Caenorhabditis elegans: one gene and its partners. The protein of the gene in region 1 interacts with the protein of each later gene in a pairwise test. Each region holds a gene or a part of one and is shown on either strand. Other genes may lie near its edges.

What was found. Proteins that work in one complex are often made in the same cells at the same time.
Region 2: the proteins of F59C12.3 (region 1) and Y54E10BR.2 interact in a two-hybrid assay, tested with the Caenorhabditis elegans proteins (one large-scale study listed by BioGRID).
Region 3: the proteins of F59C12.3 (region 1) and bbln-1 interact in a two-hybrid assay, tested with the Caenorhabditis elegans proteins (one large-scale study listed by BioGRID).

Annotation. Positions count from the first base shown.
Region 1 is NC_003284.9:16,601,717-16,612,729, reverse strand, and holds F59C12.3 (Angiomotin_C domain-containing protein), read left to right. Parts: upstream 1-3,205; 5' UTR 3,206-3,210; coding exon 3,211-3,373; intron 3,374-3,423; coding exon 3,424-3,558; intron 3,559-3,625; coding exon 3,626-3,683; intron 3,684-3,853; exon of another isoform or gene 3,854-4,078; intron 4,079-4,190; coding exon 4,191-4,296; intron 4,297-4,340; coding exon 4,341-4,445; intron 4,446-4,490; coding exon 4,491-4,606; intron 4,607-5,363; coding exon 5,364-5,461; intron 5,462-5,580; coding exon 5,581-5,723; intron 5,724-6,674; coding exon 6,675-6,860; intron 6,861-7,362; coding exon 7,363-7,472; intron 7,473-7,573; coding exon 7,574-7,676; intron 7,677-7,927; exon of another isoform or gene 7,928-8,020; intron 8,021-8,226; coding exon 8,227-8,287; intron 8,288-8,421; coding exon 8,422-8,512; intron 8,513-8,578; coding exon 8,579-8,638; intron 8,639-8,915; coding exon 8,916-9,027; 3' UTR 9,028-9,339; downstream 9,340-11,013. Other genes in the region: F59C12.4 (uncharacterized protein), read left to right, coding at 10,108-10,257; cdh-9 (Cadherin domain-containing protein), read right to left, coding at 10,818-10,947.
Region 2 is NC_003279.8:3,031,146-3,036,939, forward strand, and holds Y54E10BR.2 (ADP-ribosylation factor-related protein 1), read left to right. Parts: upstream 1-1,793; 5' UTR 1,794-1,860; coding exon 1,861-1,953; intron 1,954-2,009; coding exon 2,010-2,097; intron 2,098-2,150; coding exon 2,151-2,315; intron 2,316-2,384; coding exon 2,385-2,476; intron 2,477-2,541; coding exon 2,542-2,679; 3' UTR 2,680-3,622; downstream 3,623-5,794. Other genes in the region: rpb-7 (DNA-directed RNA polymerase II subunit RPB7), read right to left, coding at 193-717, 1,725-1,793; mod-5 (Transporter), read right to left, coding at 4,093-4,301.
Region 3 is NC_003284.9:3,148,976-3,154,049, reverse strand, and holds bbln-1 (Bublin coiled-coil protein), read left to right. Parts: upstream 1-1,588; 5' UTR 1,589-1,597; coding exon 1,598-1,730; intron 1,731-1,780; coding exon 1,781-1,929; intron 1,930-2,449; coding exon 2,450-2,545; 3' UTR 2,546-2,902; downstream 2,903-5,074. UniProt on the Caenorhabditis elegans protein: Dynamic component of the endotube in intestinal cells, interacts with intermediate filament and regulates intestinal lumen morphology.

The DNA of each region.
Region 1 (11,013 bases):
TGCTTGCCGGGCGAGAGACGCAGCGGAAACTCCCCGTCTTTCCACTTTTTCCTCGCTTCACTACTACTAACCCCCGTGAGTCTGTCCGCTCACGCTTCACTCATCAGACCACCCTCCCGCACTCTCGCTCTCTCTTTTTCTTTCACGAATCAATGAGACCGCTGTGTGTATGTGTGTGTGTGTGCAGAGAGAAGAAGGAACGTAGGGTCAACTGAGAGGGTTTCATGTCGTGTAGAGACGGAGAAACCGCACCGCCGCACACTCACGCGCTCATGCGCTCACCACCGCACTCATAGACACTCATCGACGTGCGCTCGACCACTCACCACCATTTCTCTTCATCTCTGGTGGTTCTCCCCGTATCTAACAGTATATACGTCTGTGTGGCCAGTTCTACACACACACACACATACACACACTACCAATATATTTTCGATATGTGGGATGGACGGGACACACGAGCGAAGATGGACGGGATGAACAGCGGGACGGGCGACATGCCAAACTTGAAACACTTTTTGGTTGGAAATAGATTCGGAGAGAAATTGATTAGGAACTTGTTAATTGAGGATACTAAGGATATTTAACAGAAATTCACCAATTTTCTGAAAATTTGACATTACAGTGGTTTTTCTCTGTTATGAAAAGTTGGCTATATCGTAACTTTTTGTACTTTGTGAAATATTTAAATTCAAACAGGAGATGATAAATCTAAAAAGGAAAAAGATGAAACATTATGTTGAAATTCTTAAGACAGTGTTCATTAATTTGACACGCCAAAACAGCCGAGGCTATCAATTTTTGGTGACTGAATTTTTTCGACCTTGTGTGCCGCCACCGCTCGGGAACCAGAAACTGTGAGTGCTAGACAGTTGAGGGTTTGTTTTCCTTCGCATCAAGTTCACGTGACCCGGTGAGGTGGAAGAGAATTGGGAATGAGAAATCTATACTGTTTTTCACACGGAGAAGAAAACATGAAGAGAAACTTTTGAATAACGAGAAAAATGTTTTTCTTTTTCAAAATTGAAAATAGAAGACAAAAAACAAACACGCTGAGAGAAAAGAGGCAATTAATAAAAGAAAAAACGACCAGTAGAAAAAGCAGGTGTTATTAGGCTCCGGGAGAGAGAAAGGGTCAAGCGGGAAGTGTTGGTAGTGTGGTCCAGCGCGGAACAAGATCGCGAATGCGTGTAGCAATTGGACAGATGGGTCGTCGAGATAGTACGCGTTGCACAGAGATGCCGATGGTGAGCGTAGGGCCCAGCGCACTGCCTCCCACCTATCGTTGATCAATCGATTTCTTACTCGCGTCTCGAGAGGGGCTACTCAATCAACACATTTCTAACACTTGACTAAAAGTTTTACATGGTTTAACTCTTTTCTTTTTTGTTGATAATCTTTTATCAATAGATTTCAAACTTATATGCTATTCATAGTTCATTATTGAAGCTTCTAGTTAATTATTATGACATTGAAATATTTTTTTAATTTGCTATCACAAAGAAAGAAACCAATTGTCACATAGAATCAAAAAATTGGCATTTTCTATTCAATAACCCATATATTAAATCAATAATCACTAACGCATAAAATGATCCTAAAATACTTTTGATGATTTTCAAATGATTTGTTCAAGGAAACTTAAAGCAATTTATGTGAAAATTCGATAAAACTCAGTATCAAAGAAAAAATAAAATAAAACCAAATAAAACTAAATAAAACTAGGTAAAACTAAGTAAGTAAGTAAAATCGAAAAAGATTCTAAAATATTTAAAAAAATCAGAAGTCAAAAATCCAATTCTACAAGATGATAAACCGACGAATTAATTTTTGTTCGTAATTCCTAGAACTACTGTGTTTTTCATTGCAGTATTTCTTGCAATACCATTTTTTGACTGTTTATATTTGAAATTCAATATACAAAACTGGAATTTACGTAGGATTCAAACAAAAATGTGCACATTTAGAAACAAAATTATACGAGCATTTTGAAGACGCTGGGAATCATAGAAGATCCATGAAAAATACCATGGGGTGCAAAATTGATACAAAACATACCATACCTAAAATTATTAAACGAAAAACTACACATTAAATATCAAAATAGTTTTAAAAAAATTCGTCATATAAAACATATTCTCTTTCCTCATATTTTTGTTTCGAAGTTTTTGTTTCTATTGTTTATGTTTTCGGCTAGCTTCATCATATTTTGCTTTTCATCCTGCCCATTTGTTGTTCAGTACACATGATTCAAAAACAAAAAAACTGGAAAAAACAGCAAAAACATAAGTTTCTTCATTTTGGATTTCGACCACGTCAGAGATTAACACGGATAAGCCGCGATAATCAGAACTAAACTAAACGATTTTGGAAAGAAGGTCTTCCACACGAACGCGTGTAATTATATAATTAGGAACTTGCATTTCGGGTCAGGTCACTTGAAACCTTTTAGTGTAGTTTAATCGAAACTGCGTTTGACCGCCCGAGACGGGTTTGTGTTAGTTTTTTGTTGTTGAGTATTTGTGACTTATACCAGAAATTGTCACTTTTAGTTTGGTCTTACAGTTTAGAGTATTGGTATATTATCAAATTAGATTTAATTCAATTTTAAACTAATGAAAATGTTTCTACATTGTATGTATTAGCTCACGAAGTGTCTTCTTATCATTCGTAAAATTTGGGAACATGTTGCACTGGCAACAATATTCATGGTTTAGTTTTGTTTAATTTTTTTCCAGAATACATATAATTTTGTATCATTTTTTCATGTATTCTTGTGGCGTCAATGTGTCTCATTTTGGTTTGATCTACGTAGACCTACAAAAAATGCAGGAGTTCAGACGCAGAGTTCTCAACTGATTTTGCACGGTTAAGAACGCGCTGGCGTCAATTTTTTTTCGATTGAAAAACTCCCGCATTTTTTGTAGATGAAACCGTAATGCCTGACACCGTGGGCCTGACACCACGTTTGTATTTGCATTCAAAATATTCATTCATTCAAGATGTGAAGTTAAAATTCATGTTAGTATTAGCTTCATGTAGTTTAGTTGAAAAATGACCACGTGAGAATTACGTTATTGATTAAATATTTCTAGGTATGATTGCCATATTAGCACCCAAATAAATGTCTAATTTTTCTCACCTATTTTTTTCTCGTTCTACATTCAATCTTGATGATTCACTATTTAATCGAAACTAATCTCAGGGTGAATGAATCGAGGGGACGTGATAGATCCGCGCTCGTCGGATGGCACATCATCGGATCAGCGACGAGTGCATGCAGTGCCACCGACACCCATGTATCAGGGAGAGACGAACATTTTAGACTCACTTCTAAAGGAGGCTCAGTTGAATCCAAGTCTGAAAGCGAGTGGTGAGCAATATCGAACCAGGGGTCCTGCAATTCGAAAAACTATTTTTCAGTGATGAACCACCAGGCTCAAACAAAAAGCAAGGATGACGACGAGAAGCGGTTGCAGAAGATGCTCGAAAAATATCAGCTTGAAATGAACATGCAAAGAGCAAACAGCCGGAAGGATTTACATGGAAGTGCAGGACGTGCGTGTGACATTTTTTGTTTTTTTTCTGTTTTTGGTGGATTGATGAAAATAGTATATTATTTCAGCATCACCTATCAGTCATTCTCAGCCATGTCTTATTGCGAGTGGATCAAGATCGTCAGAGTAAGTATTGGTTTTATGATGTTTTTGAAACGTTATACGGTAAACTGTAAAATTTTTTTTGAATGTATCAATAACTTTATCCACAGTGTTTCCCACTATGCATTAATTTCAGCCACACTTTTTAAATAAGGAAATTTGTAGCATTTTTTTTTTCATTTTATAAAATTATAAAAATCGTAGAAAACATTTTGGTGAATTTAATAAGTAGTAAGTGACGAATACTGAAAAATTGCTAGATTTCTCTCTTTTTTTTTTGTGAATAAAAAATTCAAAAATTATAACAAGAGTTTCATTTTTATATTTAATCACTATATTCGTATGGAAAAACTTTTAAACAACTTCCGCACAGGTTTTTAGCTAAACGATTATCTAAAATTAAAACTTCCTACTTTCAAGTTGCATTTCAAAAAACAAACAAACTTTTTTGACAAACTCAACATTTTTCCTGAGATATTTTTTTTACAAAAAAAAGCTTGACCTTCTTCTTTTAAACATTAATAATTTCAGTATTCCCCCAAATGAATCAAAAATGAGCACATCTGCCTATCAGCGTAGGGCATCTGCATCTGGAGATCAAGCACTTGACGTCCCCACATTGAGCCAAACTAACAGAGTAAGAACTTCAACAAGCAACAGCAAAACAAACAATTATTTTAGGGAGTATCCAGCAACCAGAAGCTCATTCAAATTCTCCGCGAGGAGAATGTGCACTTGAAAAAAGAGCTCGACGCTTTCAAGCGCAGTCTTTCAAAACTACAACAGGTTTGTTGGAAGTTTCAAAATAGTGGGAAACCTAAATGCTTGCAGATTGAATACTCATATGCTCGACTGGAAAAAGAATACGAATACTTGGCAAATGAACGAAAAAAGCAAGAAAATTTAGAGCTGAACGTGATTATTCAATTGGAAAAGTCTGTAAAAAAGTAAGTTGGTTGAAAATCTTGTCGGTAAAAAGAGACAACAATTTTCTGATATTTATATCTAATGAAGGCAATATAAAAAAGTTTCCATTTAAAAATGAATTGAAAACTATTTCACAAAATTCACGAGCAGCACTTTTTTGTTGTTTGGGGCAAACTAGACAAACATTGAACACAACTAATATCATTGAAGTTCACAACAATAATGATTTGATTAAACAAACTTGGGCAAAATACTCTTCGCATTTGGCTCTTGCAACTTGCCCAAGTTTGGCCCAAAAAATCTTAACTTGGCTTAGAAGTTGGCTAAACTTGAGAAAAAGGATTGAGACTGCACCAGAGTTTAACCAAAGCCGAACTCTACTCTTACCCTACTTTAAACCCAACTCTTGCCAAACTTTGGCCCAAACTTTTCTTGTTTCGTTTCAAACTTTGGTAGAAGTCTGGCGAGAGTTGGGTGAAACTTGTGTTGAACTTTGGTGTAATTTTTGCCGAAGTCTTGCCTAACTTTTGGCCAAGTTGCGCCAATCCATGTTGATATTTTGTAGGACAAAGTTGGGCAAGAAGCCAGAACCAAATGCCGAGTAAGCAAAAAAAAGCTTATTTCATACAAAGTTTTACACGGGCATATTTTTCTGAAATTTTACAATATTTTTATTTTAAAAAGTTTATCCAAAAAAAAAACTGACAAGCGGCAATATATCAAACAAACATCCAATCAACAGGAAAATCCATTATCTTCTAAAAATCTTAGTTTCAGACTTACCATCGAAAGAGACGACTTGCAAATGCGGCTGGAAAAAGCAAGTACTGAACCAACGATGGTGGCGAACCTGATGTTAAACGAAATTCAGCAGAGTGAGGAGAAAAAAAGAAATAAATTTGATACAATAGAACTGGAAACAGAGAAGCAGAATGAGAAATATGAAAAAAAAAACGAATAAAATACTTATACAATTGATTTTTTTCCGATTCAGGGCAAGAACTCTTCGCATGCAAAGAGCGGCAAAAAATGGAGATTGAGGCACAGAATCAGACGTTGGAGGAGCAACGAAATCATATTGCAATGCTTGAGAAGGCACTCGCCAATTCACAAGAGAGATTGGCGAAGCGGGAAAAAGTATGGAATATTTGTGGGAGAATGTGCTGAGCGGAATGGATAACATTTCCAATTTATTTATGGGAAAATGGGGGGAGAACAAAAGTATAGGACCACAACAGTGTACTTTTGATAAAAGTGAACAGTTGTTTGGGTATTTTGTGAATATGGAGAATTTCTGAACATATAGACTAAAAATGTTTTCAAATGAACGAAATTCGTAATGAAACTTCTCCAAAAATTTAAAATTTTTTTTTCCTGACTGTTAGCTAAAATCTCTAATTTAGAATATTTTACCGTGTCGCAGTAGTCGGAAATTGAAGTTTTTGAATTATGATCTCACTTCGTTGATTATGGTACATTTAGAGCCCATTGGTGGCCAGGTTTGGTCACCTTTGGCCACTTTTTCGGTTTTTAAGGATTTTGATCAACATGACTTCATAACGAGACAACCCAAAAATAAATAAAAAATTGTCTCACTAGCCGGAAATCAATTTTTACTTGAAATAGATTTTTAACAGTTGTCTCATTTTTTTTGTTTTTGATGAGACACTCCAATTGATATAATAATGAATAAAAGTGAAACGCGAAAAAAATTTGCAAACTGACGTGGGAAAATAAGAAATGAAAAAAAACTTCCATGTGATACAAACAACAATTGAAAACGTGCTGTGTTTAGAAACATTCAGAACTTGTCTATCAATTTTTTTTCTATTTTCAAGGTAATTTTAAAGGCACTCAAATAGTTATGTACCATTACTTTTGCATTCATATTCAAAAAATATTGCGAAATTCAAATTTTAATTTAACTTTGCAATATACCTTGCACTTCCGGACTTCTCTAAAAAATGTTTTTTGCTTTCTTAACTTACATTAAAAATATTTTTTAAAGCTCCCAAATCAAAACTGTTTTCTTGATAGTACGTTATCTTTTTTTTGAAATTAAAATTCAATAAGAAACACTTTTTCTAGAAATGCGAAGAATTGTCCGCTGTAGTGGCACACGCTGATGAGCTGCGAAAGCAACTAAACGAAGTATGGGAAGAACAACATCGGAGGGATCAGATGGTTGAGTCGGAACGGGCTCAGTGGGAAATGGAGAAGACTCAGCTAAGAATGCAATTGAACAAAGACACATCACTCACTGGAAGTCTTAAGGTTTGTCTCGAAACAGGGAGAGAAATAGTAGTAAATGAAAGTAATGTGGGGTGTGCTAGGAAAAGGGGGGGGGGGGGCGACAACATTTGAACCGGTTCCCGATTATGGGGTTAAATGTCCGGTAATGAAAGTTTTATTGATATAGATCAGCACCGGTCTCAGTATTTTTTTTCTGAAAATTAGATGGGACGCCTATAGGTTAGTACATTTGAAAACGTTTGCAGAGGGTCTAAAGAGCGTCATCATTTTTCTAATATATACCATTAAAAAATGGAGAATTAAAAATTTTTCTAGCATCTCATAATTTTTTTACTGGAAATTAAAATTATAAACTATTATTATTAGTTTATCTTCTATAACAATCTTATCCTAGATATTGCCGTCTAAGCCGTCTTTGTACATAGTAGTACATAAGCCCTGAAATAGAACATGCCAGAACATCTATAGAATTACTCATGGAATTACTAACCACTACTCATTTGCATAATCATCAATTTTGCAGCGAACCACTACTCCCGGCAGCACAGAGGATCTTATTCGAATGCGAAAGAGCATTCAATCAAAAGACGACAAGATTCAGCAACTCGAAAGAATGGTGAACGATTTGCGAAAGTTTGTTTTTTTTTCTTTCTCTCTTCTTTTATTCTCTTCGTTTGTTGAAGAACTGAGCCGAAAACGGAAATGGAGAGCAGAATTGAAAAAGCTTTTTTTAGAACTCACGGTGACAAAACTGAGCAACGGAAGTCAACTCTTGCAACAATAACTGACAACTTTGAAACCCAGGTGGACAAATTGAAAGAGGAGAGTTATGAAAAGGTGAGGCAAGAACTGCTGCTAAATTTTTTATACAAAATTTAAAACAAGTGAAAACATTTATAAGGGATCTTTTCAAAAATAGAGACGTTACTTTTCAAGGTTACGTGTTTTCTCACAGAAAATGTTTTCAATAAATTGTTTAAAGTTTCCCAGTTGCCCCTTATACATATTAACATAATTTATTGTTACATATACTATATAGCACTAAATTTTCGGTCATAAACCCAGTTTATAAAAGCCTCAACAACCGCTCTCTTTCGTGTCCTCGGTAGTATAGTGGTGAGTATCCGCGTCTGTCACATGCGAGACCCGGGTTCAATTCCCGGCCGGGGAGAATCTTTTTGCCTAATAACTTTGGGAGTTTAATTCAAGAGAGTAATTTTAGATTGGTATATTTAATTATCGCGCCTAGAATAAATAAAAATGTTTCTGATATTTGATATACTAGAAATGAGCTTTATTTCTATTATAGAGAACATCAGAAAACACACTTTGAAATGAGCTCACAAATTACAACGGGCATATTCGATGAATAATTGATAAATTTTAGGATCTGATCATCAACGAACTGAGGTCGGAGCGGGACAAATATGCAGCAATGGTAGATAAAAGTGAGTATATGAAGCCCTAGTCGGGAAAAAAGAAAGGCAAAGGGGGAAGCGTCGACTGCATTTCTTTTGGCATGTGAAAAGAGCACTCTTCTTCCTCTCTCCTTTTTTTTCTCATTTCTTTTCTTTTTTTCCAGACAGCGGAGACGAGGCACTGAGTAGAATGGAGGAAATTAGACAGAAAATACAGGAAAGGAAGAAAAAAGGTCGAATGGGCGTGACTGGAGGGTAAGACGCAGTTTTATTAATTGCTCAAATAAATCAAATATAATTTCCTTAATTCCCATATTCCAGGCTATCAGAACATGCAAGAACTTCATCGGGCTCGTTGATGCAAAATTCTCTTCATCGGAGGTGAGACAAAAAATTATGAGACCGTTGTTTTTTCTTCCTAGGAAACTTTGCAAAAAGTACTCAAAATTTGAGTTTTCTGAACGAAAGCAAAACTACAGTGAATCTTGAACTTTTCTCTAATTGTAAGTTCCTTTTTAAGTTAGTTTTTGAGTATAAAATTTTCAGTTGAATACTTTCTAGAAACACACATAGGTCAAGCTGAAAATACTAGCTCCAGAATCTATTACGATTCGATAAACATCTTCAAAAGTAACAAACTATACAAAAAAAGTTGCAGATCATCATCTGGATCATCATTCGACCCTGTACCGACTGCTCCAATTCCTTACAATATGTTCAAAAATAGTAACAATAACAAGTCAATACTTGCGGATAACCAATTTTCTTGAATATTCCTCATGCACTAGTCATCGAAATTCTATTTATTATTTACAAACACGCTACCAACAACACACTTTCCTTCTTTGTTACTTTCTGTTACATGCATAATTCAATTTATTTTTCAATTCAAGTTTCCAAAGTCCATTCCTCTTAATACAATTTGTATGTAGTTTTGTTCTTTTAATTTTTAGCCAGTTTAGATGATGTACTTGTATTTTTTCCATCAGCTTCATAAGCTCATTCAAAAAGGCCATGTGTTTTGCTAGTTGCAATATCGTTTTAATAATTGTGATTGAAATGTTTCAAATGAAAATTATTTTCTAACCTTATAAAAATTATCAGATATACTTTTTGCTATATAGAAACTGAAAAAATGACCAGATGTGAACGAAAAGGGCAATGCTAATCGGTTTTAAAAAAATCCAGAAGGATTTCGAAGATGTAATGAAAATATTTTATTGAAAAACAAAACTGATTTGAAATATTTGAATATGTTCAGATATCAGAATTAGTCGAAATTCTGACACTTAAATTTTTGTTATCTAATTGGAAGTTCAGTTTTAATTTAAAAAAGATAGAACATGTTAAAACGGAATAGTGTTTTTAGTTTTTTACAGACTTCTGACATATCAAACAAGTAAAACATGTTTTTTTGATGGAAAAAAAAACTCTTAGCAATTTTTCTGGCTGCAATTTCCTCCAATTCTTTTTTGAACTTTCACATTATACTTTTGAATAAGCAAAATTACCCTTTAACTTAAAAAGTCTGAAAATAAACTAGAAAGAACATCAGTCTGATAAACTTTGGCTGTTCAAATCATTTTGAAACTACCATCACGTGAAAGAGCAGGGTTGATAACATACTTTCCGAAATTTTCGAATAAATCCATGTACAACAAAAAAAGTTATGAACTTCGACCCCTGGAAGTTATTTCTCTTCTTAATATGTAAATCATCACGTGAACTTAATCAGCTATGTTCTATTGTTCTTTCGGCGGGAGGATGGCCGAGTGGATCAAGGCGGCGGTCTTGATTCGGCCACCCGGGGGGTTAATGGTTCGACCCCCACACCCCTAGCCACCCTGTCAATGCCAGAAACACCGGCATTGACAGGCGAAGGAGCAGCTCGTGGATCATTTCACAAACAACCACGGCGGCGAACTTGGGCCGAGAAGGTCAATGAGGATCAGGCCAACTGGAGATCGACAAGCGAGCTGAAATGGATGAATGATAAATGATGTATGTATGACTAAAAATGAATGAATAAAAAAAAAGAAAAAAATACAATTTTGGAATTTTTTGGAAACCAAAAGGCAGACAAAAAACTTTTACATTTATCATTTTCCGTGAAACACAACGCGAAACTTTTGGACTGGATATGCTTACCGTAATATCATCTCAAATATTTCCATAAAATTGAATCTGTATTTTACTTGTGTTCTTCAAACGAAATTAACAGTTGCAAAATTTATATAAATATATTTATTGATCAAAAAGTAATGTGAATATGAGATCAACCCTGTAGTTTTGAAACTGCAAAGCGAAGGTAACATAAGTTAATTGTAAGCAAAACGGTTAGACAAAGGAATGAGCACTTTTGAAGATACAATGAATAGAATATTGTGAGAAAGAAAGTCACCGATATGATTGTGAAAGAGCTGTGAAAGAATTCGACGAGGTTGCGTATTTACAATGACAATTTGCAAAAAAAAATTATTGAAGCGAGGAGCATGTGACCAGTAAGATTGGGGCGTTGAGGGAGATGAACAGATATTTCAGAATTTTTATCGGATACATATTAAAAATAGACAGTAGGCGTTGATCCGTCTGATGTTACGGTGACTGGAACCAAATGGGCACCTTGTGATCTTTTGGGACCCGGTGACTTGGACTCGTAACATCTATCGCGGTCACTGTTCACCACATACCTGAACTATAAATTGTTAACGGTTTTTATCGGGATATGGAATTGTGAAACTTTTAAAATCATTACT
Region 2 (5,794 bases), on another chromosome or scaffold:
AATATAAAAAAAAAGATATTAAAAATGGTAAAAAACCAAGTTTTAAGTTCCAAAAAGCAAGTAAAACCAATAAAATGAGATCCTTTAAGGTTTAAACGTAACAGATGGATTTTAAAAAAAGTAAAAATTAAAATATTGTGAAATAACGTGGTGATAGATAAATTATGATACAGCGAATCGTTGAAAACCAGATCATTCCGCTTGGCACAGTCCGAGAAAATCGTCCATCAAGGTTCCGATGGCAAAAATGTCGTTAGCATCGACACGTGTTCCGATGAGCTTCACACGGATCTCATCATCATTCCGAATCACATTCGCCTCATCATTGGTCTTGTAGCACGGTTTCTCACTGTTCGGATCGAATTCCATGTCTGGTGGAATACAATGACGACTGATGAAGCATGAAAGTGGTCCGATATCACAGAAAATGCCGACTTTATTGACCTGTGTGACGACTCCATCGACGACTTGTCCTTTGAACGGGCGGAACACGATGGCCTTGTAACGGACCGGGTAGATGACGAATCCACGGCCAGGCTGGATCAGGCCGTGGCCGATCGTGTCGATTGTGGTGACTGCGATGACGAATCCGTACTTTCCTGTGCACGTTCCCTCGACTTCGTTGAACAGCTTCATTTTGATGGTTTCGTTCAGGTTTGGACCGAAATATTTCGGATGGAGGCAGACTTCATGGTCGAGTGACAAGTGGAAGAACATCTGAAAGTTCTTAAATTTGTATTTAAAAGAGGAAATCGTAACGGTTCTGGGTTTTTTAGTGATTTTTTTTGGTTTAAAACTCAAATTTCTATCGATTTTTGCATGTAAACTCTGTGTTTCAAGCATAAAAATCGTTTTTTAAAATTTAATTTTTACTATTAAAACAGGAGTAATTTTTAACGTTGAAGATCCAAAATGTGCTCAAATGGACGAATTTCGTAATGAAATTTCTCAAAATTCCGAAAAACCCGGCTAAGTTCACTTGTTCAGTAAGCCCGTTCAGAATATACCCAGATTTAAACCAAATTAAAACCGTACAAGCCTATATTGTGAATTTATCTGCACAAATTTGGTTTGGATCTACACAAACCTACACAAATTCAGTTTACATCTACTCAAACTTGCAATCTATGCAAATTATGTTTGAATCTAGACAATCTTGGTTTACATCTGCCCAAAATTAGAATTTTTCATAATATAGGCTTGTACGGTTTAAATCTGGGTATATTCTGAACGGGTTTACTGAGTGGAATAGCGAAATTTGGCCACTTTTCCGCGTCGCGGCGATGGAAAGTTCACTTTTTTTTAAATTATCATCCTTTATTGCTTAAAAACGTGAGATAATCGATCAAATTATGCAAAAAGAGATGAAAATTCCAAAAAAGTCCACTTCCAATCGCTGCGACATGGAAAGTAGCCAGAATTGGAGATTTTACCCGACATAAAAAATGTTCGAGCACTCTTTAAGAATTTTTATTGCAAAATTCGCTTATTTGAGCATATTTCGGTCTTATACATTCAAAATACCTAGAATCTTTACTCCTAAAAGTTAAAAACCCCCTTAGAGAAATTTTATGCACGAATTCTGGATTTTACACACAAAAAATCGATTTCTGATCAAGTATTTATTGCGTAAAACAAGAAAATTGAGTTTTAAAACCAAAAAAAAACAATTAAAAACGAAAAAATCCACCAAAATCTATTCGAAAAATAAATAAATTTCGTACACGAAGCGTAAGCGCACCAGTTGCGTGCCAACGAGACGAAGAATGCGCCAGCAGGCGTCCTTGGCGCATATCTCGTTTTTCTTTTATTTTGCCAACTCCGCTCGGTTTTTCCTCTTTAAAATCGAATATTTCACATATGTACACACTTTCGGCGGGTATCTGGGAGAAATTCTTCAAGAAAAAAGACTATTATGTGGTGATAGTCGGTCTGGATAATGCTGGAAAAACTGTAAGTCTCTTGAATTTGAGATCTCACCGATTAATATCAGAAATTATCGATTTCAGACGTTTCTGGAGCAAACAAAATCTCACTTTGTAAAGGACTACGGGGTTCTGAATCCATCAAAAATCACGGCGACAGTTGGTTTGAATAGTAAGCCTCTAAAATGAATTAAAAATCAAAAAATTTTTTTTTTCAATTTTCAGCTGGAAATGTCGAGCTCAACAACACATGTCTTCATTTCTGGGATCTCGGAGGCCAGGAGAGTTTACGAGAACTCTGGGCGACATATTACGACGATGCAAATGCCATGATTTTTGTTGTGGACGCAACAAGGAGCGATCTCTTCCCAATAGTAGCATCTCAGTTTAGTAAGTAGTTTGAAATTGAAATAAATCAAATTTATACCAGAAATAATAATAATAATACGAATATTTCAGAAGAAGTAATGGCCAACGAAATAGTTCAAAATATTCCAGTTTTAGTAGCGGTGAATAAAAGTGAAATGGAAGGAGCCGCCGCTGCCGCTGAGGTCAGATTTTTCTCAAAAATCGAAAAAAAAAACCGAAATTCCTGCATTAAAATCATATTTTCCAGGTCCGAATGCTGCTCGAAGACGACAATCACCGCTCGGACCTTGCAGTTCTTCCGGTTTCGGCGCTAGAAGGAACAAATATCGAAAGATGTGTTCACTGGATCGTCCGATCGTTGGCTAGCCAGCCATTATACCTTTAACCTCTCGGGTAGCTGTATATAATAATTATAATCTATTGCATACTGACATGAATAGAAGAATCCTGTGATGATTTCCTAACCTCACTGCAACTTTTTTGAATGAGGGACGAGGAAATACGGTTTCTAGGCCACGGCCGGGGATCCGACAAGATTTAGCGGCAATTTATTTTGCTTTGTTTTCCGCGTTTTTTCTTTGGTTTTTCACCGATTTTTCTCCCGTTTTTTTCTTATTAACACTGATGAATAAATATTTTTTGCAGATGCTAGAACAATTTCCAACTGAAAAATTGTGTAGCGATGGATTACGGGAATACTAAACCTAAACTTTTTCCGAATCATGAAATATATGCTGCTTAGAGGCTGAAACTACCTGATTTTCATAACGAGACCGCTGAAAAAGTTTTGAGATTTTTAAAATTCAACTTTTTTGGTGAAAAAGTCGATATTTTCGCACAAAATGTTGAATTTTAAAAATCTCAAAACTTTTTTTCAGCGGTCTCGTTATGAAAATCAAGTAGTTTCAGCATCTAAGCAGTATATATATCATGTTTCGGAAAAAGTTTAGGTTTGGTATGCCTGTAATCCATCATATTACATTGATCATTTTCACCGCTTCTTGCCGATTGTTCTAGCATCTGCGAAAAAATATTTATCCATCAGTTTTAATAGGAAAAACGGGAAAAAAAACTGTGAAAAACAAAAAAAAAAACAAGCGGAAAACAAAGCAAGATAAATTGCCGCTAAATCTTGTCGGATCCTCGGCCATGGCCTAGAAACCGCATTTCCTCGTCCCTCGTTTAAGAAAAGTTGCAGTGAACCCCTTCCCCTCTACCATGTTTTAATACGGTTTCGGCTGATCTGACTTATTACACAAAAAAATGATATTAGTATTTAAGTATTAAATATTTTTGTTTATATCGTGCAATAAAAATTCTTTTTTTAATTGATTATTTACAAAATTTCAGAAAACGAAAGCTTGTGAGTTATGAGATTAAATAGGAATTGGCACCGCGTGGATGGTTAAAGAGATCGGGAAAAATAAAACGCTACTCCAGAAATAATTCGAGTTCGAGAATTGAAAAATATTTTAAAAATTTGAAAAAGTGGAAGAAAAATCAATAAATCGATAATAACTGTTGAAATTAAAAGATCGATTCGTGAAAAGAGGCAGAGCGTAATTTTGCAATCCTGCGGCACGGTTTTGCTGATTTTTTCTATAAAATTTCGATTTGAATTCTCTTTTTTTTTTAATAAAAAGACTATCCAATTTAGTTTTTATTTAAAAAAAAAGAGAATAAAACGGGCGTCAAAATAGGTGGAAAAACCGTGCCGCAAGGTTGCGAAATTACGCTCCGCCTTTTTTTCTGTGCACGGCTATCGATCGTTGACTTCCAACAGTACACCAAGAATTATCTAAACTGGAGTAAGTGTATGAATTGGATCTAAAAGAGAACTATCGATAATTTGTGTGGGATCAGCGGCGAGAGAAGTCGCCGAATTTCGGCGTTGTTGAGGAGTTATTGCCCATCGGAAGCGTTCGTAAAGTGTGCCGGTACCGCTGAGCAGGTAGATTATTGCGAAGACAGGAATTGCGAGGACTGAGAGAAGTCTCAGGAACCAACCTGGAAATATTGGATTTAAAACTAATTGCTTTGAATTCTCATGCAAAACTTATATTTTTCACGTGGTGCCAGGCTGTCCCATCACGGTTTGATCTACAAAAAATGCGGCATTTTTTTCCCCAAAAAATGTGACGTCAGCACGTTCTTAACCGTGCAAAATCAGTTGAGAAGTCTGCGTCTCTTCTCCCGCATTTTTATAGATCAACGTAGATCAAACCGAAATAAGACACTCTGACACCACATGATTTTTTCATGATAGCGCAAAAAATTTCCTCTGGTTACGGTAGATTTAAAGGCGCATAGCTAACAAATATCTTTCGTTGCGAGGCCATAGCTTAAAAAATTTTTGAATTAAAAAAAAACATCAATTTTGTCTTTTATTTTAGTTTTTTCAAGAAAAATATTTCTTGCGCGTGGGGGACTGGCGAAAAAGAGTCTCGACACGAGCATTTTTTGTTTTCTGAAAAGGTGTGTGCCTTTGAAGTGTACTGTTGTTTCAAACTCTATTACGGAAACACAAAAATCTGAGAATGCGTATTTCGCAACATATTTGACGCGAAAAATATCTCGTAGCGAAAACCACGGCCCGGCGAAAGAGACGTGGCCGCGAGAGCTGCGCCGGCTAGGCCACCGCCTCCTATGGTTAAGATTTTTGAACGAATAAACATTTTTAATTTGGCTGCTAAGCTCATTTATCTTTGTTTTTTCTCGTTTTTTCTCATTTTTATCGATAAAAATATATTTTTTGTTGCAGAAAATCACAAAACCGCGGCAAAACAGCACTCAACCGCCAACTGGGAGGAGGAAAATCCGAAAAAAGAGTTTTTTCCATCTAGTGAAAAAATCCTATAGAATTTTATATTAAAAATGCCTTCATAGCATTTGTCTTGATGCCAGCTTTCGAAAAAGTACAAGAAAACAAACTTTCATGTCGAAAAAATCGAGAAAAATTGAAAAATGTGAAAAAAATGCACTACGGAGATTTTCGTGTCTGGAAAATCCCAACATTCCTATAGAATTTCGATATTTTTTTGACGTTTTTGCGTTTTACTGGACGAGATCTTTTTAAAAACACCAAAAAATCGAGGCCCCATGTTCAAAAAGTGAACTTTTTTAAAAAGAAAATTTCAATAGTACTGAAATTAAAAAAAAATTTTTTTTCGAAAAACTGTATAGAATTTCGATATTTTTTTGACATTTTCACGTACTACTGGACGAGATCTTTCTAAAAAGACCAAAAAATCGAGGCTCCATGTTCAAAAAGTGAACTTTTTTTAAAAAGAAAATTTCAATAGTACTGAAATTTAAAAAAATTTTTTTTCGAAAAACTGTATAGAATTTCGTTTTTTTTTTGACGTTTTTGCGTTTTACTGGACGAGATCTTTTTAAAAACACCAAAAAATCGAGGCCCCATGTTCAAAAAGTGAACTTTTTTTAAAAAGAAAATTTCAATAGTACTGAAATTTTTAAAAAATTTTTTTCGAAAAACTGTA
Region 3 (5,074 bases), about 13 Mb from region 1:
AAATATGAAATGAAAGACTAGAATTTGGAAAACATCAATTTCCAACCGGTGCGCGACGGAAAAGTTGGAAAATTTTAGGATAGTAGCATAATTTTTTCAAAACTTTGCAACGATTTTTAGAAAATTTTAAAAACTTTCTAGAAATTTTCATAAAAAATTGTTTCATCTTAGCGCATTTTGAGACTATTACGAGAAAATACTCCGTTAGTTCTTTTTTAAAAGTGAAGTGAACTTATACCAGGTCTGTTCACATTTGTAGTCATTTTTATGAAATATGTCGTTTTTCAAACTTAACAATAGCGAGAATTTTTAAAATCTAAAATTTAAAATACTAAAATGTGAATTAATTATATATTAACATACATTTCAAAGCGTGGAAAAATTGCGGAAAACGAAAAAAAACCCAAAAATAACACATTGCATTTGGGCAGTATTTCGAAATCAAGAATCATACACTTCTTTACTTTTCTTGCACTTTAATAAAATCACGACATTTTCTAGCACTTATTATCAGATTATACCGAGTTGAACATGATTCAAAATTTGAAATTTCAGTCTCAGTTGCACCGTAAAAACCATAACAGTATTTTCTTCCTATTCTCTTTTCGCCATCAAACTTTTGCATAATCTCTTCAGTTCTCCATACGCTTCCTTATCACCACTGAAATCGGCATAAAGGGTTATAAAAGTGAAGCGTACAACACACACAGGTCAGTCAGTACAGGCTCCATAACCACGCCTTATCTTAAATCACCATCAAAAGTGTAATTGTTGGCTGATAACTCGGCGACGCCCGCCGTCGGTCATTTCTCTTCTAACGAAACTGTACGATTTTCTATTTTTCTTAAATTATACGTTCTAATTGTTCATGCTGTTTAGTCATCACACAACTAGTGGGGCTTTCTCCAGGTATTTGTTGAATGTTTCTATTTCACCAATGTCTACCGGTTTGAGTCATAGGTGAATTGAAGAGGAGGAGGAGGCAAGTGTTAATACAAATACGTACTTAGTTTCAAAATTTAAGTTTCTTTTTCTTTCTTTTTTTTTTGATTTGCGGAGGCAGTTTTATTTGACTTTGTCATAATTTATAATTCATTTCTGTCACCCCAGGCCACTGAATTCTCAAACTGCTACGCCTTGATCAAAAGTGAGGAGAACTGTGTGGCATTTACGTTGACTCTAATTCGAAAAGATAACAATTTTCATAGGCGTCGCATTTTCCTCCTTTGCCTCCCTGTCCTCGCTGGTTTGTTGTAGTTCTCCTCCCAAAGACCGGATTCAAAAGGTGGCATCCCAGAAAAAAAAACGTTCACCAGCACCCTTGACATATGCCTTACCCTACCCTTCATTCCATTTTATTAGACCCCCTTATTGCAATATAAAATTTCGATATTGCTGTTGTCTCTTTTTTTCCTGCATTTTTTATCTTGATACATGCATTACATCATCACCATCATCATCACCCATCTCCAACCAAATTACCTAATTAATTTTTACAAACTTTGCATAAGTTACTCATTCTGTCGTCAATGTGTGCTCGCCTACAACGACATAATTCATCGTCTTTTTCTCCATTTCCTCATTTCAGTTGAACACAATGGTCGTTGAGCAGAAAGAGCAAGAGCCTATTGTCAAGATGCGCGACCGCAATGTCAACGCTGCTGCACATTCTGCGTTGGCTCGTGGAATTGAGGCACTCAACGAAGGAGAAGTGACCGAGGAGACGGAAGGTGAAAACTCTTCTCAGATTCAGATTACTTATAGCATTGGTTTTTTTCAGAAATTCGCAAGCTGGACACCCAGCTTGATCATCTTAATGACTACATGTCTAAGATGGAAGAGCGTCTGAAGGCACACAACGACAGAATGATGGAGACGTTGAAGCAGCAGAAGGAAGAGCGCGAAAAGAGACGTCGCAGCTTCCACGAGGTAAGAATATTTTAATTTGGAAAGATAAAAGCACCTCTATTTCGCTCTTCTAGCTTTTTGCAAGAGTTTGGCAAGAGTTGAGCAAGAGTTGCGCAAGACGTAGTTTAAACTATTCAGTTTCACCTAGCTTTTGAAAAACTTTAGACAAAACTTTTTCTGTGTCTATTTTGAAGTGGGTAAGAGTTTTACAAAAGTAAAATCAAATCTTAGTAAGACCAAATCTTACAAGATTCACTGCACAATCACTAAATCAAATGTTTTCATTCCCTTATCATTTGCAACTTAGGGTTAAAGTCCAAACATCCATACTTTCAAACCTCGAAAACAAATTTTAGAAAGCCACGTATTTTCTCACGTGAAACATAACAAAAATTTACTAAAACACCCTGAAAGTTTAGACATAGTAAAAAAGTTTTTTGAATGAATGAAACCGTGGGAACTGCAGTTTTGAAAGTTAAACAACTAAACATCGCAGAACATTTTGCAAAAAAAAAAATGAGTAACCGGTATTTTTTTGCAGCGTATGTCCCAAAATCAATCTGAAGATGAGGAGTTCAAAAAGCAAATGAGCAGCATCCTGAAGAGAGTTCAATCTGTCAAACGCACCGAAAAATAAACCAGAATGCTTTTCAATTGGTACATGTACACTATTTAATGTATTACTTTCATACCAACAACATCCTCAAATCATTCACATTTTTAACCTTAAAGCTGTTTCGATACGAACTGTTGGAAAATGATTTGGTTCCTCGTTCTCTATATTTTTCATTCACTTTTTTTAATCGAACTTCCTTATTTTTTTCCTGTCCCCTGTCCCCCGCTCTCCACCACTTAACCACTTAACTATTAACTTTTTCTTTTCAAGCTTTGATCGTTCGCCGAATTCAATGCAAATATGTTTGGAAATAAAGTCAACGCCGCGTTCCATGTGGCACCGCATTGAGATGATGTTTAGAATAAAAGGTTATTGTTGTTCAGGAACACCGTTGTCAATGCCGTATACACATTGATAAGAGTCAGAATGAACTCTTGTTCTTGGAAGGGATCTATGATATCTTGATCCTTCCGCAAGAATGCGTAGTGATATTTGTAGTCCGTAAAAGTTTGATATTCAAGTTTGTTTATCTGATCGTTTGGCGTTGAAATGAAAATAATCATGCAAATTTGTGAAAAATAAATGTACTTTGGAAGCTCAATGAAAAAACTTGATTGGAAAAAATTCAAAAAAATTCTCAGAGCTTACTCAGCTAACTAAAGCTAAAGCTTACTTAACAAGGTGGAATTGAATGAAACACTTTTTGAGAAAACTATAGCTCTGTTCCATTTCCAGATTTCTACAGTGTTTGTTTTTTAAAATTCAAAGGAACAGTTTTCTGATCGACGATTTCCAAAAAATTGGCAAAAACCGAGGTTTTTCCAATTTTCAAAAAATGCCTTTCAATTGAGCTTTTAAACTATGATATTTTGGCACTGTAAAGCCATAGACATGTTGTGAAGAAGTTTTCCCACTGGCGTTACTCCACCGTTAAGGATAATTAATTCCGAAAATTATGAACCAAAACTGAACCTGAACTGTAAATTTTTGAGTTTGAAAATTTCAATTCAATTTCTACAATCATCAAACTTCCCTTTCCAAAATTATTTTTGCTTTCTTTTCCAGGTTTGTACTCCCTCCTTCTCCACTACACACCACAGACATTTTTCCAATTTTCTTCGCAAAAATAAATCCAAGACAAATAAATCTGTCTAGACGATGTCGTAAGTTTAGAAAACACTCCAAGAAACATCTGACACCCAAAAGGTGAATTCACGTGGATATCAGAACCGGCATCTGCCCTTCTGAAAACACCTGTACACGGGTAAAGTGTTGACAATATCCCGAACTTGTGTTCGTTTTTTAGAAATGATTTGCTTTCTACAACATCCAGTTGTTGATCTCTAGGACGCTAGAAGTTTCTTTGTAGATATTTCAAGTAGACACTTTGTCCTTTTTGGATGTCTGGTTGGTAAAATTGCCTGTGAAAAAGGAAAAAAGATTGATGTTGTCTGGTTAGTTTCATATTATGACTCAACTTTCTCAGACATTCCATTTTTTTTCAGAGTTTGTGATAAGGCTGGTTTTATGTGTTTATTGGTATAGTGTTACAACTTATTTAGCCTTACATTAAGCGTGTAAGAAAAAAGTGAAAATATTTTAATTTTGGCGAAAATATACAAAAAGTTATGGAAAAAGCAAAACATTCACCCCCTTTACTAACATTTCTCTTTTAAGAAAAAAAAAAGAAATTCAATTCATTCTGAAAGCTGCATTGCTTATAAACTCCAAATCCTCATGATTAAAACAAAGCAGACGATAATCGTTCTCAGTCAATACAGGGCCGCACGTTTCAAGCCGAATAATCTTTTTCGAATCTAAGTCCATCCAGAAATAAACCGCTATAATCTATTTTACTTTGATACAAATCCGATTGTGAGCATTGTCTTAGACTTCGAGAAGCCAACAGTTGCGGATTGAAGATTTGAACGATCAGTGGGATTTTTTTAATGGGATTTTCTTTTTTGGCAATTATGAAAATGGTATCTACACAAAACTAAGGCTTGGTAGTGCTCAAATGAACGAATTTCATAGTGAAACTTCCCAAAAAGTCTATAAAAAATTTTGAAAAATAGTTCACAACAACAAATCAATTTCGAACCGCTGCAACACACAAAATGATTAAAATTGGAGAATATAGTTAATTCGTTCATTTGAGCAAGTTTTGGGGCTACAATTTCAAAATACCCAGAAGCGTTACTCCTTTTGTAACTAATAATGTTTCTTGTTAAGTACAGGGTTTGTATCACAAAAAAAAATCATCAAGTCATATACCCTTAGGTTCATCAAATGAGATAACCCTTGAAAATTGAATTTACAACAATATTTGCTTCTTTGATAATAATATGGGGATCGAAGGCCAGTGCACTTTGATTTTCATGTGATAAAACCCGTAGTGTTAATTCATCAATGATGATAGGACAAAAACTAAAATATTTTATCATATTCACGGAACATGATATCCTAATACAGGTCAAAGATAATTATCAAAATGATTGCCTGAACTGTGAACAGTATAATCAATTTTGTGACTTTTTAAAAGATTGTTTA